Coturnix japonica: one gene and its partners. The protein of the gene in region 1 interacts with the protein of each later gene in a pairwise test. Links are inferred from orthologs where the notes say so. Each region holds a gene or a part of one and is shown in the gene's direction. Other genes may lie near its edges.

Region 1 (4,115 bases):
CTTAAGACAAAGTATTGTGTATTCCACACTGTGTCTCCTAGTGCTTTAGAAGCACGTTGCTCCAGGGTGTGCAGCTCATAAGTGAAATGCTCCTCACTTCAATAGAAAAGTTGCAGTGAAATCTGTTTGAAGTCTATGAACTCCCTCTCGTGGCCAACAAAATAGTAAATTTCCATGTCTGGTGTTGGATAGTGTTGTTAATAATCCTCATACCTACATCAGACTATGATAATATTACCACATTGATGTTCCTCATAGATCAAAGTTTATTTTGGGAGGCCATGGGCAGAGAGTCCAGTCTCCTTCTTTTTAAATAGTTGCTGTCCGGGTTGTCAGATGGTGCTGGGGAAAGACTCATTTTGCTGAGGACTAGTGCAGGATTATGCTGAGGAAGTACATTTGTATGGTAGGTGGATAAAACCTTAACACATGAATGATCCTGGGCATTGCTTGTTAATGTAGCCACTGATCTGATTTTTTTAGATGCATGGGAATAATGATGTGAAAGCTGTTGTGTAGATGCTTTACTCTTGGATTACAGAACCTTCTTCAGTATGGCTGATATGGTGTCTACTGTTTGGGTCTTTGTCCTTCCTGATAAGTTCTCAGTACAGTACAGCTGGAAGGGAGGCAGATTAAAGAAAGGCAATCTACAGAAGATATCTAAGAGTTAGAAATGCGCATCTTTACTATGTGTAGCTCTGGTGATCCAGAGTGCTGACAACACTTAGTGCTTTTTGAATGTAGCAAGCTACAGTGAGAAGGTAAGCTGCTTGTCTCCCTAAAATGGCTGGCTAGTCAGGGTGCACAGCTATCAACTCAGGAGTGTATTTGGAAGCTGGTAGGAATTGCTAAATGATATTTCAGTTTTACATCAATTTGTCTTGGGTAGAGTCACAATAGGTGATGGTTTCGAGTAGGTGATGGTCAAAAATGACAAGCTTGTCTGGTATTTCCAGATCTGCTTTAGTGATTGATATTGTGTAATGCTTTTATTTTTACAAACTGAACTTTACACAGCATTGAACACAGCGATTTTCATTCTATCTTGAAAGCTTGCTAGCTTCAATGTCAGTGCTTGTTGTGCTTGTAAGTTAAATTGTGCAGGGAAATGGATGAGTTAACATGGCTGATGTGGACAGCCTTAAGTGTTAACGGAGCCCAAATCTGACCTAGTAAGATTTTGTACTTCAAGTGAGTATGGATTTGAGGTTAATGTTTGTGGGTAAAACTTGTTTTATTCTTGTCATCTATAGTGGTAGACATGGGAGGAAACATTAATTTACTTGCTAAGCACTGCTACTACTACTTTGTCATTCACTAGAAGTCATACTGATTTGTTAGATAGGTCTGTATGATTAGTTTCAGATCATTTTCAGAAACCAACTTCTGTTTTTAAACACTTCTGGTTTCTGGAAGTGCTATACTGACTTATATAGACGTTGTCTAAATTCTAGGTTAGCCCAGTGAAATTCTCTTTTGGAACCTGAGTCACACTCTAAAATTTGTTCTGTGTTGATAATGGTGCTGTAACTTATTCTACAGGTTGTCAGTGTTATGGGTTGGACTCGCTTTCCTTTCTCAAACAGCATTACGTTGTCTCTGTCATTGTAGAAAGAGGTAATGGAGGTGAGGTGTATAGTTCTGATTAGTTGAGAGTGTGCTCAAAGGCTACTGGTGGAAGAACTGAAAAATAAACCAATGTCAACTTTTCACTGTTGTATTTAACAGTAAATGAACTAACACAATGACATGGCTTGTCAAATGAAATGGCTAAATCAAATAGGTAGTTTGGAACAGATGTTTGAGTCACTTAAATCGCGTCTGGGTGAGAATTAAAACTGCTTGCTCTTTTTTTCTAGGAGGAACTTCTGGATATTAAAGAGCGTCCCTACTCTAAGCAAAGACCTTCTTGTCTCTCTGAAAAATATGACAGGTATTTTCTTGATTATACTGAGAACTACATCTGTTTCCAAAGCAGAAGTTGAAATATCAAGTAGTTCTTAGCTGGAAAGTTTCTCTTATTTTGATGCAAGTAAACTGAAGTATTTTCAGAAGTAATAATCTAATAGTAGAAACTGAATGTGCTAGTTGGGAAATTTGTACTTGGAAAATATTGTAATGTAAGATCCATAAGAAAATAACTTTTCACTGTACAAATCTCATAGACATACAGAAGCTATGCTTCAGCATGATTTTAGTGCTGTTTCATTTATTTAAAATGGTAACAAGAATATAGGTGGGTGTACAGCACTGACGAGGTCATGTTGCAACAGGCTGACTTGCTTAATGGATTACGCTCCCACGTTAACAGTGTACCTCATTTTAAAATGAAGGTGAGAGTATTCCTGCCTTGTGCTGAGGAGTTTGCTAAACAGCAAGATCTCCAATACCAGATTGTTCATTTGGACAAGTATGAGATGAAGAGAACTTCCAAAATGCCTGAGAACTGAGACACTTGATCCACTTGAGTTATTTTTATCATTGTGTCAGGCAAACTTCCTTGATACCTGGTGGGATAACATATGTTCTACAGTCTAAGTGTATATATGGTATACTTATGCTTATAGGAAGGATCTGGAATACTACACTTCACGACCTCATGTGGTAACTCAAAGATTCAGAAGTTAGGTGGGAGGTGGATCTTGTTCGTACCAGATGGCTAATGAGTTCTAGTTTGCAGCAACAGTGATATGATTTCTTTATTATGTTAGATGTAGTAAGTAATCCTGCACCTTTTTTTTCATAGTGATGGTGTCTGGGATCCAGAGAAGTGGCATGCATCTTTATATCCGAGTTCAGGGAGGACTTCACCAGTGGAAAGCTTTAAAAAAGATTTGGATTCAGATCGGACTTCTCTTATGCGTAGAATAGTAGGTGAGTATGTTACAGTACAGGAACCAAACTTAAACATAAGCTGTTGGCAAAACTTTCCCTTTGGGATGACATGAATATCTGAAAATTTATTACATAGAATAAGTATCAAGGAAATCTTGGTGATTCCAAGTATAACTTGTTCCTGGTATGCTATTAACTCTATGAAAACTAGCAGATTGTTATTGCCTGCTGTTTTTGCAATATAGTAGTAAGTACATTTGGAACAATGCAGTTATAGAGGGTAGTTTTCTGTGCTTCAAGATTGGGCATGTACTTAGGAGGTATAGATGAGAGCAGGGACTTTCTAGGTGACAGAGCAATGATTCCTTAATATCCAGCTGTGATTTTAATTCTCATCTTTCTGTGGTGTTTGGCAGGTTAGCCTCACAAAAATAAACTGTGGATGTTGTCCTTTGAAAAGCTCCAGGGGTAGCAGCAAGGCTGTGGTTTATCTTATTTTTTTATTTATCTTATCTGAAGGTTATCTTGTGGATAGCTAGCTTGTGCTTACTGCTGTATTCAACTAAATACTTTGTGTGATCTTTGATTTGTAGATCCAAGAGAGAGAGTGAAAGAAGATGACTTGGATGTTGTCTTGAGTCCACAAAGACGAAGCTTTGGAGGTGGCTGTCATGTAACTGCAGCTGTTAGCTCACGTCGATCAGGCAGCCCATTAGAAAAAGAGAATGACGGTGTCCGTGTTATTGGTGGACGTAGGATTGGCAGTGGAAGAATCATCTCTTCACGTAACTTTGATAAAGACCACAGGGGTGGTGAAAAAGATTTACGTGATTCTAGAGATGCAAGAGACAGAGAACGTGAGAGGGACTACAAAGATAAACGTTTCAGGGTTTGTTCTTTTTTCCTGGTTAAATATTTAAATAGTTTTGGACAGTCTGCGCTAAAAGTAACAGGAACAGGCTAACTGCAGTTCAGTGTTCCACACAAGTGGGCTTGTTCTTAAAGAGAATCTTCATGGTCCAATGGATGAGCACTGAGTTTCAGGTGTCAGTTCTTTCCTAGAAGAACTGGGATACATCCACTTCTGTGCATCCTACAAACCTCTCCTGTGATAAATGCAATAACAAGATATTAAGAAGTCTGATTGTTAATAGTTCTTGACCTAGCTGTTGTCAGCAGATGGAAGCTTTTATGCTTCAAGATATTTGTTTTAAATAATACAAAATATCTTCCTCTCAGGATACAGAACTGAGTTTATACAGGCCCTTGCAGACCAA
Region 2 (4,115 bases), on another chromosome or scaffold:
AAGGTTTGAAATAGTCAGTAAGTCTCAGCAAATGGACACCAGGTGTTTTCAGGAGTACTGTGGCAAGATAAATCTACTCTAGTGGTAACTCGAGTCAGCTCAATGCTCCTGAAGTGATCAACATGAGAAGTAGGCCTCTTCTGTTAAACACCTCTCAGGTATCTCCTTCCAGCATTTTAGACAATATTCTTCTGATTCCTAAGGAATGTCTTTGAGTGTAAAGATGATTTCTTTTTTTCTAATAGTAGGTGTTGAAACTTGTACTCAGTTGAGACGTTGAAGAAAATAGGGTGGAAAATTTAAGTATTCACTTGTGTGAATCTAAAAACCCGAAGTGAAGCTTAAGCTGGTAGTTTTATAAAAAATGAATTCAAGTGACTTCTATTGAAATTTGTTCTCCCGGTGGGTGAATGCTAGGGAGACATTCATCTATATGCATACACTAGAATTAGCTTTTGACTTTTACAGAGAAATTATGGAATAGGCAGCTGAGTTCCAGATTGGGATAGTTGGCACTGCTTCAAACCATGATTGTTACTGGTGGGAGGACTTTGCAGTTTACCAGTGGCAAAAAGGGGAATCATCTGAGGCTTAGAGATTTAGTCTTAGAAATGACCCAAACACATTAGAAATAATTACCTCAATGATAATATAACTTGATATGATGTAATTACTTGATATGATAATCAAGTCTCCCATGACTGTTGTAACTCTAGGATACATGCTGTAGAGCTAGATTTTAGAAATGAATTTTTCACATTGCCAGCTAATGAAAACTGCTTTCCGTGCTAATAACCTCTTGAGGTTTGCGATTACTTGGTATATAATCAGTACTGAATTTTATTTGTAACGTGCTTTAATTCTAGATGCTATTATTCTGTACTCTGTTCTCCTTTAGATGGGCGCTCTGGTTTTTTAAAAATGACAAGAGCAAAACTTGGCAAGCAAATCTCCGTCTGATCTCAAAGTTTGATACTGTTGAAGATTTTTGGGCGTAAGTAAACATGCCTTGGTCTGCACAATGCTGATATGTGATAGCTAAATTTATGCTGAAATCAGAAGGTGTAAAGTTTTTCATTAGCCACAACTCTTTGGAAATACCTATAAAATTAATGGCCAGATCTTGATTCTTCAGAGTTTGCAAGAATGTAACCCAGAATAATATAACATTTGAATTATGTGTAATTGGAGAAGTTCTTCATATTTTTAATGCACATCAGTGAAAGTAGCACCATCAGAGAGGAAACGTGTTGAAGATTTTAAGCTGATGTTTGTCAGTACAGTCATTGGAGGAAGGGGAGCAGGACTCAGTTCTTGAAAACAGTTTTTGCATCCCCCTGGTGGGATATGTGATAAGTTGTTTGAAGCTTATCAGTGTACTTAGTGATGGGTAAGTTTTTGAGCTGTGTAATCAAGGCTGTAGTGGAAAAGTGTTCAGATGTCTCCAGTCAAGCTATAAAATAAGTTGAAGTAGTTAGTTTTCTTTTTAGTACTGGACCATGCCTAAGTGTTAGTTAGTCTTGAACTACAGTTTAGTGTTTGATGCAGACCATCTTCTGAAGTGTCACCTTAGCAGTGCAGGAAAGAAAAGCACCTGCCTTCTTGCTAGGAGGCTGTATGAACTGCCTCAACTTCTTAGCTCTCAATTGCATAGTCGTGAATTTAATTCTGGCTGTATTTTGTATTGTTCTTCCAGTCATCTGTTCTTGCCATATGAGTTCTTATTTCAGTTTGAATTATCGGGCTTACAGTCTTCAACTACAGAGTACAGAAGTGAATAAAATCTAATTGAATACTTTTAAAAATCTCTCTGCAGAGAGAATAACCATAGGTGTTTAAATTGTTATTCTATTAAATTGTTATGCATATATAGAGGACGAGTACACATGCACAAAACTTCCTTTTTTGCATGAAAGTTCAGTAAGTTATGTTTATTATTTTTAACTTGTTAGAACTAAGTTTAGAAGAAGGAAAGGTATTTCTGGGAAATACTGTGGTATAGGAGCCCAGCAAGTGTTGATGAAACCAGCTTCCATTCTGCTTCTTTGAGCTAGAACTCATTAAAGCTAATGCTTTTGTACTGCTGGGGGAAAAAACCTAGGTAACAGGGTTGCTTCTGAATTACTTTAATGCTGTTTAAATTTTGTATTTTATTCAGACATGTCCTAAATTCTTTTAGCATTTTGTACCTTAAAATAATGTTTAGTTTTTAATCCTGCTGTTTTTCCCTCCAATAGTTTATACAACCATATCCAGCTCTCTAGTAATTTAATGCCTGGTTGTGACTACTCGCTGTTTAAGGTATGCTTGCTAACAATTTTTCTTCCATTGTGGATGTTGATCGATGGTTTCCCGACTAAGCAAGACTGTGTCCAAACATTTCATTTCAGACATGTAGGAGCACAGCTGGAGATGTCCTAAAAGTCTTAATTTTTAGGAAGTCCCAAAAGTGCACTCTGAAAATCACAGTTACTGATACTGAAAATGCAAGTAATTCCTTGAGCATTTTAAATCCATCACGCTTTGATCTGTAGTTATGTTTGTCTTCATTCTAGCTTTTAGGTGTTTGTACGAATCATTAAGTCTTAGTTTTATGAAAGAGATTTTTCCAGTTGTCACTGTCACATGAAATTAGCCATAGCTGAGTTCTATGCAGAACTGTGATGTTTGTCAGCATTCAGAATGAACGCTACTAGCCAGCTGCACAGCGCTCCTGTAATTAATTTTTATGACACCATAAGTTAAGTGCCATATTCTATAGGCATGAAATAGAAAATTGTACACAAGGCTGACAAGTTATTGAGCATTCAAGTTAGTTAACAGAAAATGCCAAGGAGAAATTATACATGAAATCCTGCCTTTTGTCTGGAGTGGACATCTGATTTGGAGCTCTAAATTAATCCCTAACCTCTATGAAGTGCTTCTAACATACAGCTTCCTTTCTGGATTCAGATACGTAAATAATCCTGTAAGTACTGATGCCTGGCTTCTCCTTTGCTTATGAAACAGACCCTGGCAGGGACCCCTCAGTAGGCTGTACGCAAATTATAAATCCCAGCAGCTTTGGGCAGTGAAGAGGTAGTTATGCTTGATTTTGAGAAGGTAACAATATTTATGTTGTGAGAAACTTTACTGGTAAATGTTAAGAAACGGATCCCTTCAAATCTTAGGAAAAATACAGGTCATGCTTGTGTTCTTGTCTGAATCCTAAATTTGTCTCTGTGCATCTATTCAGAGTTTGCATGTTATCAACAGAAACTTCAGTTTCCATCTATATGGAACAGGTATAGAATTGTCAGCTGTTGCAGACTTGAGTGACCTCTTACTGTTGTCCTTCAATTGTGACCTCATAAGAGTTCCCCTTAAAGGTGATGAAGCAGTTTGAGCTCTGCAGCTGCCAGTGAGGGTGTTAAATTTGAGAAAGTGAACTGGCTCTGCTCCATCCTGTAGGTTGAGCATTTAATTAGATTGCAGTTGAAATTCTATAATGTGGCTCTCTTTGTAGCTATTTCTTGTCTGAATTTCTCTGACCAGACAATTACCTGCTTTTTTTAATGACTGACCTTCTTTCCTGAAGTTCAGCGTAGCTGGTAGATATGGGAGTGGCTGCTGACTTGTTTGCAGGTTCAACGCATCCAGAGTTGTTTAATGTGGTACAGGGCCACTGGTAATGCATGAATAAGGCTGTGACTTATTTCTAAATGGTCTGCTGATTCTCTTTTATTTCCTTTTTTCTGGCCCTAGTGATTAGAACCCTCTTATTTTCACCCCATGTGTGCAGGAAGTCAAAGAGAGACTGCCAGAGTGTTTTTAGTGAAGTAATCTTCACGCATAAGTGGAGCACTTGGCCAACGTTGTGCTGAGTCCAAGACTTAAAATAAAGACTCCAGAATGCGGCTGCTAATTTTATCGGGTTTCAGAGAGGGCAAGGTGGATGATTGACTTTGCAATATATTTCATGCTCTACTGTGTAGCTAAAGCTTCAGCTTGGGCTGACAATCTTTCGTGGAAACGACAGCTTAAAAAAAACACTAGGAAAGGTGTGGTTTTTAAGCAGTTGTGGAACTTTACTGTTGGTCCAGAGGTATTACTAGAAAGAAAATACTTTCTAGTAT
Region 3 (4,543 bases), on another chromosome or scaffold:
ATAAAGGCAGCTGAACAATAGGAAAACAAATAAGTACAAACAAATAAGGTTTTAAAAGCAAGTGTTTATGATTTTGTTGTTTACATCAATATAGGAAACGTCATTTTGGGCAAGGCTTCACTTAGAAAACAAGAAGAATTGTATCCAAGGGTATTTAAATGCCACAAATCTCAAAGTCAGTATAGGAGAGTAAGTGATCTGAGAAATACCTGCATACTAATGGTCACCCTTCACAGATCTTGCCTCCAAAATCAACTTTAAAAAAATTATGTGGGCATTTATTTCCTATATTCAGATAAGTAATACACCTGCGTCACAGAAATGGTTAGACATGGCTCAGCTTTGACAGTTCAGGCTCTAAACAAAGCTATGAAGCCCAGATAGTCATAGTATTCCTTGCGCTTGTATTTCCACATGCAGCTCTAAGAAACCTTCCCACCACCATCAAAGTGCTTCAGCCCTGTGTTAATGAGACAGCTGCTGGCACTAACACACTTGCAGGATCTGCAAACACTTATTAAGGGTGAGACCAGGAACCACCAGAAGAGCTGGGTGCCTGGAGAGTCATGGATCCTCAGTGACGCATACTTCACTCAGGAAATTAAAGGTAACGAGTATTTGTCTCTTGTGCAGCTGCAACGTATTTAAAACATTTGCAGTTCAGATATTTTCCAGCTGTCTTCCCACATCCTCCTCCTCTTCCTTCTGAAAGACTGTTATTTATCTATTTGAATTGCACTTCAAAAGCCCAGCACTTTGCCTAAGTACTTGCTGGTGTTCCTTGGCAGTCACCACACAGATAATAACGTTGTTCCACTGTAGACTGGAACAAAGCTGACTGTACACTACGTTCCTCAGCCAGTCATTACTTTTCTAGTAGAGCTGCTGTCTTTCCAACTTAACTCTGTACGGATTCTGTGGATATGCATATATGGATAAATCTGTCTTGCTGGAAATCTGTTACAGTACTAAAAGATTCTTAAAGCTCAGCACCTCTCTTATATCTGCAGATAAAGGATGACCCATGATCTATATTCATACACAACATGTTCAAATGACCACAGATTTCTTCATAACTGGTTCAGATGCCAACAGTACCGCTTTATGATGGCAGTATGTATATTAGTATGTCTCTAAACTATGGTGTATCTGTAAGAATAAGGTGAGAAATACACGCATCTGCACTTTGATGTGTCACTGTCCTTGTATATTCATGTATATATCCATATACATATATATTCATATCCATATACATGAGTACAAGAACCAAGATGGCGGCCGGAAATGTCTATTTCCCACTTCCGCCTTGCTCCGCCCCCATGATGGCGGGGCGGGGATCATGGCGGCGCTGTCGCCGCAGGAAGTGGCGGAAGGTTTTGGAGAGCGGACTCGGCGGAGCGGAAGTCGCTGAGGTGGACGGGGGTGGCGGCAGCGAGCGACGATGAACAACAAATTCGACGCGTGAGTCGGCGGCGTGGCTCGGGCCCTGCCCGCGGCTCCCATCCGCCATGAGTCACGGGGCCGCACACAGCCCCTTTCCCGGCCCTGCTCTCTGTCGGGAGGCCTCGTTGTGCACCGGGCCGGCCTGTTGGTCACGGTTCTCGTTCAGCTTTTCCTGCCCTCGGCAGGGAGCGGGGCAGGCCCGGAGCACTGAGGCGTGAGGGTGGTGATGGCTGCCGTGGCCGGCACAGGCTGTGGAGGGGCAGAAAGCTGCACTGGGGGCTCTGTGGATGCTGCCGGCAGGTTGGAGGGTCCACACGGTGGGGTTGTTTTGCAGAGGGTCTGTGGTCGGTTACTGAGTGCTTGAATTCACTTGTATCTCGGTTTTGCATGTGCCTGAGTGTGTGTCAAGCATTAGCAGGAGAGTATAAAAAGAGGTTGCTGCTGCTGCTTGCTGTGAAACTTCCCAGCTCCAAGATATAATGCTCACAGCCACTGGTCTTCTTCATTACCAGATTGAAAGATGATGATAGTGGAGACCATGACCAGAACGAGGAGAATAACACACAGAAAGACAGTGAGAAGGAAAAAAATGATCGAGAGAAGCCACAGAGTACCACCAAGAGGAAGGTAAGGTGCTGGTGGCTGCATCCCCTCACCAGGGCTTGAGGTGAGAGTACTGGAGCCCTCAGTTTAAGGATAAGGAAAAATGTCTTGGAGGACTGTGGTCATGTTATGTTTTGTTGCTGTGGTAATGATGATGGAAGAACTCTTTTACTCTGTCTGATTTTGAAGTTTCATTTTGGAGTTCTTAGAGGTATATAATCTGTGGGGTGAACGCTTCACAGAATCACAGAATTATCAAGGTTGGAAAAGACCCAGAAGATCATCTAGTCCAATCATTCCCAATACTTCCCAGCTAAATCATGTTCATCAACACAACATCCAAACGTTTCTTGAACACTCCCATGGTCGGTGACTCCACCACCTCCCTGGGCAGTGCATTCCAATGCCTGACTACCCTTTCTGAGAAGTAATACTTCCTAATGTCCAGCCTGAATCTCCTTCATACTTCCTTCGTAATTGCAACTAGGAGCAGCCAGGCTTTTGCTTATGTTAGAAAAAAATAAAGCTTTATTCCCCTGACTGTTGAAAACAATATTTGGAAGAGGATGTGGGGAAGAGAGTGATTGACAGAGGAATGGTGGCCTTTTGCTGGCTTACAAACTGTGTTTGTCCTGCTGTTGACATTACTCTTAAGATGGGATCTCATTGAGTGCAGTGTACCCTGGTTGAGAAGGTGGATATGACTCTATGTTTCTATAATTCTATGCTTATTTGTTGTTTTTATTTTTAATCTTGTGCTTATATCATTGTAAATTTACTATAGACAAGAAAAGAATAGAGATTTAAGCTCTTTACTCCTGCAGCAATACCAAGTGGAAAAAAAAACCAAAAACCCAAAGCCCTCATCTTGTGTCATGTCAGTTTTGACTCCTGGGTAATAAGTTCTTGTTAACCCCTTTTCACACTCATTAGAAGACAGAATAATCCTCACAGAGTTTTGGGAGTGTCAGTTGCTTAAGGGGAGCTGCAGTTAGCAATCAGTTGTAATGCTTTTAAAGCATGATTTAGTATATGTGTTTTATTCTTCATAGGGAAAAATGGCTTTTTTTTTTTCATTCAGAAGAAAATATTGCTGTTTTCAGTTTGTCATTTTCTTTTGAGACAGTCACAGTGCGGAATTAAAAGGTAAATTTAATAATGCTGTTTTTAATTGTTATGAAGCCTGTTTATGTGTGTCTCTTCCTAGAGCTTATTTCCTTAACTGTGAACATACAGCTAATTTCTAATACTCTTTGGAATGGCCAGCTGCTGTTAGCCTAATGGTCCATGAAAGTCAACTAACAGTAATGGCATTTTTCAGTGAAAGTCAGGCTTTATTGTTTGTTTTACACTCTGTTAGGATGGGAACATGTAGATTTCTGATGCTGTGAATGTATTTCTTTTTCCATTCCTGCTGTAGAGTAGCATATTAGGGCTAAGCAAGGTTTTCTGTTCTGCAGGCGGTTGTCCCGGGACCAGCTGAGCACCCCTTGCAGTATAATTACACTTTCTGGTACTCCAGACGAACACCTGGGAGGCCAACCAGCTCACAGAGTTATGAACAGAACATCAAACAGATCGGCACCTTTGCCTCAGTGAGTATATCCCTGTTGTGCTTGTACCACTTGGACATGATGTAGTCATTGCGGCTGGCTTACTCTCTGTATGTTGAGCATATGCACGTGCATGCTGTGCTTCTGCTGTTGAGAGCAGAGGACTTACAGGTGAGTTCTTTAACTACCTACAGCAGGTGGAGTGTCCTAAGCAGTTCTCCTCTGCGTTGTGTTAGCTGGAATAATAATAGAAGAATGGTGAGAGCTCTTATAACTGTAACCTGCTAGCTGCAGCAGTGCTTGACAAGTGAGCAAGAGAAGAAAGAAAGAGCTGTGAAGCAATGACTGTACAGCTGCTCCCTTCTACCCCCAGTATTTCCACCACAAAGTGTGTTAAGAACAGTCATCTGGTGTTCTTGATGTGTAAGCAGCTTTTGGCATGGTGTCTGCTGTTGCTGTGGAAGTGATGACTGAGGTACAGTTGAGTGTTGCAGTGAAGTTGGTTGGAGGGGAAACTTTTCTTCCTTTTACCCTTTAGCTGTTCGTGGTTTTTTATTCCTAGAATGAAGTAAGTACTGGAAAGGCAGTGTTGGGTTGTCTGCTCTTTGCTGTAAAGATTTTCTGATTGATACTGTAGGCTGGAAATGCTAGAATTCAGGTAGGTTGGAAAGAGGTTGGTCAGAAGATTTGGTTCCAAGTTTTGTTAAAGGAGAGAGAATAAGCTCCAGGAGGGACTGTCTGAGCTGAAGCCTGGATTCACATTTGTCCTCTGCTTTTCAGTAGAAACCTGTAAGTCAAAGCTTTTAAATTCTAACCGCTAGAGGGCAGGTACACTCATTGAGAACTTGCATGCAAATGCAGTGTAGAAATTATCTTGCAGAAATAGATTGTTTCTGACCCCATCTCAGCCTTGATTCGTAATTATATTGACTATAAAAGCAAGT
Region 4 (4,115 bases), on another chromosome or scaffold:
TATTGCCAATCTAAGGACAAACTCCTTGGTTTTCATTGAATGTTTCCCTTGGTATTTATTGAACAGAAAGGAATGGCAATCCTGTGGCAGGGCTGCTGTTTATGAAACATTCTGTTAACGTGTCTCCAGTAAACTATCTTGTTTTCACCTGAATGTGTTTTCCTAACTGCACTGTGAGATGCGTAGTACCAGCTCAGAGAGAAAACAGGCAATTATGTGAAATTCAAGTGAGGCCTTGAAGGTATAAATAAGATTAGAAGCTTAACCATGGGGGGTGAGGGAGGGGGAGGAGGAGAAGTGGTTCACATGCCTGAGGCTGGGCTGATTGTGAGTCTGGCAAAGGAGCTGAAGCCTTTTCCTTTGGCGCTAGAAATGCCTACAATTCTGTTTGATTTGGCAAAACTGAAGGTAAAAGCAGATACTTTATCATAGAATTATAGAATGGTTTGGGTTGGAAGGGACCTTTAAGATCATCCAGTTCCAATCCCCCTACTCTAAGCAGAGACATCTCCTTTTAGACCACTTTGCTCACAGCCCCATCCAGCCTGGTCTGAAATGCTTCCAGGGAGGGGGCAATGCTTCCATGGAGGGGTCATGCTCATGGACTCACAGTTTCTCCTGCTTTCCTTGTTACAAGTGCCGAAAGCCTAGTGGGACCAGCCAGCCACGTGTTGTTCCAAATGCTTTCAGCAGCAGATGTGGGCTGTACTGCAAGCTGAGTAGCCTCCTGCCTGCCAAGTCCAATCCTCCTCTTCAGTGGAGAAGAACGCAACTGGGCAAACAGAGCTGACATCCTATTCACAGCTCAGATGCTTTCTTCTGTGCCCTTAAGCAAAGTGGGGACCTTCCTGTGGCATGTGGATAATTATTTCACTTGAAGAACGGTTTGATAGCTGACACGAAGCAGATAGCAAAGGCAGGAAAGGCCTCTAAGAAGGTCAAAACTAAGAATAAACCAACAAAGCTAAAAATAACAGGAGAATCCTATCGCCAACGTTATACAGTGCTCACATAAACAGAATTGTTTGTCATAATGGGTTCCCCATAGATCTGCTATAGGACTTTACTCTGTGTCTGTGGTTTTTTACATGCAGACCCTTACATAAGTTGTGGGGAGAGGTGGTGAAACAAATGATATGCTTTGATGTGTTTCCTAATTCCAGTTCTAAAGACGTGACACATCTTGACCAGCAAGGGGAATCCTCTGAAATTGCAAGGAATATATAACAAAGAAGTAACAGAAAGAAGGTGCACATGCAATAGTCAAGGGAGCACCATAGGGCATAAGGGAGTGAGGTCCCTTGGAGCTTTGCACTGCTGTAGCACAGAGTAGGGAAGAAAAGGTCTGTGAGATAAATACTAGGGCAGATCAAGTGCAGTTGCCCCATTCTGGATGCTGAGGCTCGTGGTAAGTCTGTGCCAGTGCAAGGATTTGAGCTGACTCTGATGCTTTGTTCCTCCAATCACTCACTGTTTATTCAGCCTTCTTGATCTAAGCGTAAGTAACGGCTGCAGTAGGTTATAATAAATCACTGTGGAGGCATTCTGGCTATCAAACTGTCACTGGTTTTCTGTGCTTTTAGTAGCAATATCTACTAAGTGCATGTAGGATTTTAACAGCTGGATTTTCTTCCACAGAAAACATCCTTTCATCGCTCGCAGACGCTGGGCTACAAAAATGGGTTTGCCTTTTCTCGGCTGCCAACAGTGGGGTTCGGCGGGGAGCGACTGTACGTGAATCAGCCTACTCAAGCTGAATTAGATGAATTATGCTACACAGGACCCACACTGACCTACGGGGAAGCCAAGAAGATTACTCCTTCAGGCTTCGTTCCAGCACACGTGGCTTTTGACAAAAAGGTATAAAGAAGTTTATTCCAGGAATATTGGCTGGCCAAGTTCGGAGACATAAACAGTCAGCTCCAGGGTTCATGGGACAGCGTACAGCAGTTTTCAGATGCCATAGCCCTTAGTCAGAGACAGCTGAACCCCAGTCTGAAAGAGGCTTTCTTTGCTCAGGAGGAGGATTATAATACATAAACGATGTAAGACATTCCCTGCGAGTTACGCCGGAGCAATTCCAGCAGGAGTTTGAAAAGAAATTTGATTAATTCTGAAAAGCTTCAGTTTATAACCACTGCCCTGTAAAACACAGCCTGCCCTCCTGCATTTCCAAAAGGTTATTGAGGTTGTAACTGAGCTTGAACAGTTAAGTCTCTCTGCATTTGAGTCCCTGATAGACTGTCTAGCTTTGGTCTATCTATATATGCTCATGCTTGTCACCACAGCATGTTAGAGCCTGCTGCTCCAGCTGTACTTCCTGCATTACATCTTGGTGATCCTGTCAGACTAGGAGGTGGCTCTAGGTCTGCAATCCTGAGCTGACCCTCACTTTTAAACGTGCTGGTTGCACAGACTGCAGCTGCAGCCAGAGCAGTCCCTGCAGAGCATGAAAGGCTCGGCAGTCCTGAGCACATGCAGAGGTTGCACCCTGTCTGGCAGGTCTGGAAAGGCAGCCCTCCTGGGAGACAGCATGAGGGACAAATATCCTGTGTTAATTACTGCTTCAGGGGCCATTCTTTCAGAGTAACGTAGATGGTGCTGTTTTAATGTCAGATACTTCCCTGTCCCTTCATTCAAACTATAGTAGTAGCTACTTGATTACGTAGGTCAGTGGGCTGGGTATGCAAGGCTTGATTACCCACCTACATCCTCTTAGGAGCAATGAATGCTCTTGGAGGCAATATTCCTTGTGCTTCTATCATTCACGGGACTGAGACTGACTGGCTTTTGGCAGGGTATGCAGCGTGAGTTTCCTCTGTGTCCTGATTTCTCTCTTTATTCCTTCAGAACAAATTGCCTCTTCCTGCCTGTGCTGGATAGATATGAGTTCAGATGAATGAGGCAGGTCCTAAAAACCACAAATGTCATCAAACTGTTAACTAAAATCACCAGATCATTTTTCAGACCCTTGTTCAGGGGGTCTGATTATTAAAGAAAGTCAGATGTGTCTGTAAATTAGATTACTGACAGTAACCAAGCACTCGGTTAGTAGGTAGAATAACAGATGATCATGGAGAAAAGAAAGTGCTGTATTTATTACAAGTATCTTGTGTAACCAAACTTAGAAAAGCCCTATTGAAGCCTCCACCATCAGTCACAGATTGGGCTAACAGTTGGCCTTGATGATTTTATAGATTAGAATCCAGTCATTTTTCACTGTCAAAGCCCATTGCAAGTACAATTCTTTGTATTAACTTTGTATTAACAGACTAACTGTGGTGGTCAAATTGTTTCTTTCCCTCTCTCTTTGGTATCTTGTCCCTCTGGCAGGTTTTGAAGTTTGATGCCTATTTCCAGGAAGATGTTCCTCTCTCTACAGAAGAGCATTACCGTATTCGCCAAGTGGGTATCTATTACTATTTGGAAGATGACACCATATCTGTCATGGAGCCTGTTGTGAAGAACTGCGGTTTTCGTCAAGGCACATTTATCAGACGTCATCGCGTGCCCAAGAATGCCCTTGGGGATCCTTACCACTGGAAGGATCTGAATCGAGGTATCAACATCACCATGTATGGCAGGACATACCGCATTGTTGACTGTGACCCATTCACGCAGGTGAGTTCCTTATATGGAGAAACTGACATGAGGAATCCCAGGAGTTACAAGGTGGAAAGATTTGTTACAGTCCAGTCTGGTATTCTATACCTGTAGCTTTCACACTGAGATTGCTTGTGATCTTTCATTCTGTGTTTTGTGGAGACTTCTTTCCTCATATAACAATAGGTATTTCAAGGTACAATATTTGCAGTGAGCACAGCTACTGTTTAGTACTTTAGACCATTCTCTTTCCTGAAGACTACACCCTACAAAACAAATTCTAAGGTTGTTATTAGGTTAAGAGAATTGGTCTAAGCTAACTTCTGTCTGTGTGTAGCAGGTTAGCTGCTGAGAGTCATGATGAACCATTGTGCATATATGAAAGGGAAATTACTGAACTATTTTCCAGCTTAGTGCTCCTCTGATAAGAAGGGGGGATGAGAATGCTGTTAGTAACTCAGCACTCGTCTGCAACAAACCAGACATAGTCAGTGGATTTAGAATCATAATAT

What was found.
Region 2: the proteins of EIF4ENIF1 (region 1) and EIF4E interact in binary tests that used the Homo sapiens proteins (3 or more experiments, as listed by UniProt). The link is inferred for Coturnix japonica from reciprocal best matches to the Homo sapiens genes EIF4ENIF1 and EIF4E.
Region 3: the proteins of EIF4ENIF1 (region 1) and EIF4E2 interact in binary tests that used the Homo sapiens proteins (3 or more experiments, as listed by UniProt). The two-hybrid records come from large-scale screens. The link is inferred for Coturnix japonica from reciprocal best matches to the Homo sapiens genes EIF4ENIF1 and EIF4E2.
Region 4: the proteins of EIF4ENIF1 (region 1) and EFHC1 interact in binary tests that used the Homo sapiens proteins (3 or more experiments, as listed by UniProt). The two-hybrid records come from large-scale screens. The link is inferred for Coturnix japonica from reciprocal best matches to the Homo sapiens genes EIF4ENIF1 and EFHC1.

What each region holds. Positions count from the first base shown.
Region 1 is NC_029530.1:7,949,469-7,953,583, forward strand, and holds part of EIF4ENIF1 (eukaryotic translation initiation factor 4E transporter), read left to right. Parts: intron 1-1,862; coding exon 1,863-1,936; intron 1,937-2,749; coding exon 2,750-2,877; intron 2,878-3,431; coding exon 3,432-3,727; intron 3,728-4,115. UniProt on the Homo sapiens protein: EIF4E-binding protein that regulates translation and stability of mRNAs in processing bodies (P-bodies). Plays a key role in P-bodies to coordinate the storage of translationally inactive mRNAs in the cytoplasm and prevent their degradation.
Region 2 is NC_029519.1:53,876,037-53,880,151, reverse strand, and holds part of EIF4E (eukaryotic translation initiation factor 4E), read left to right. Parts: intron 1-898; coding exon 899-994; intron 995-2,237; coding exon 2,238-2,301; intron 2,302-4,115. UniProt on the Homo sapiens protein: Acts in the cytoplasm to initiate and regulate protein synthesis and is required in the nucleus for export of a subset of mRNAs from the nucleus to the cytoplasm which promotes processes such as RNA capping, processing and splicing.
Region 3 is NC_029524.1:13,651,707-13,656,249, reverse strand, and holds the start of EIF4E2 (eukaryotic translation initiation factor 4E type 2), read left to right. Parts: upstream 1-1,494; 5' UTR 1,495-1,669; coding exon 1,670-1,743; intron 1,744-1,955; coding exon 1,956-2,070; intron 2,071-3,506; coding exon 3,507-3,641; intron 3,642-4,543. UniProt on the Homo sapiens protein: Recognizes and binds the 7-methylguanosine-containing mRNA cap during an early step in the initiation. Acts as a repressor of translation initiation.
Region 4 is NC_029518.1:98,069,113-98,073,227, reverse strand, and holds part of EFHC1 (EF-hand domain-containing protein 1), read left to right. Parts: intron 1-1,638; coding exon 1,639-1,860; intron 1,861-3,333; coding exon 3,334-3,621; intron 3,622-4,115. UniProt on the Homo sapiens protein: Microtubule inner protein (MIP) part of the dynein-decorated doublet microtubules (DMTs) in cilia axoneme, which is required for motile cilia beating.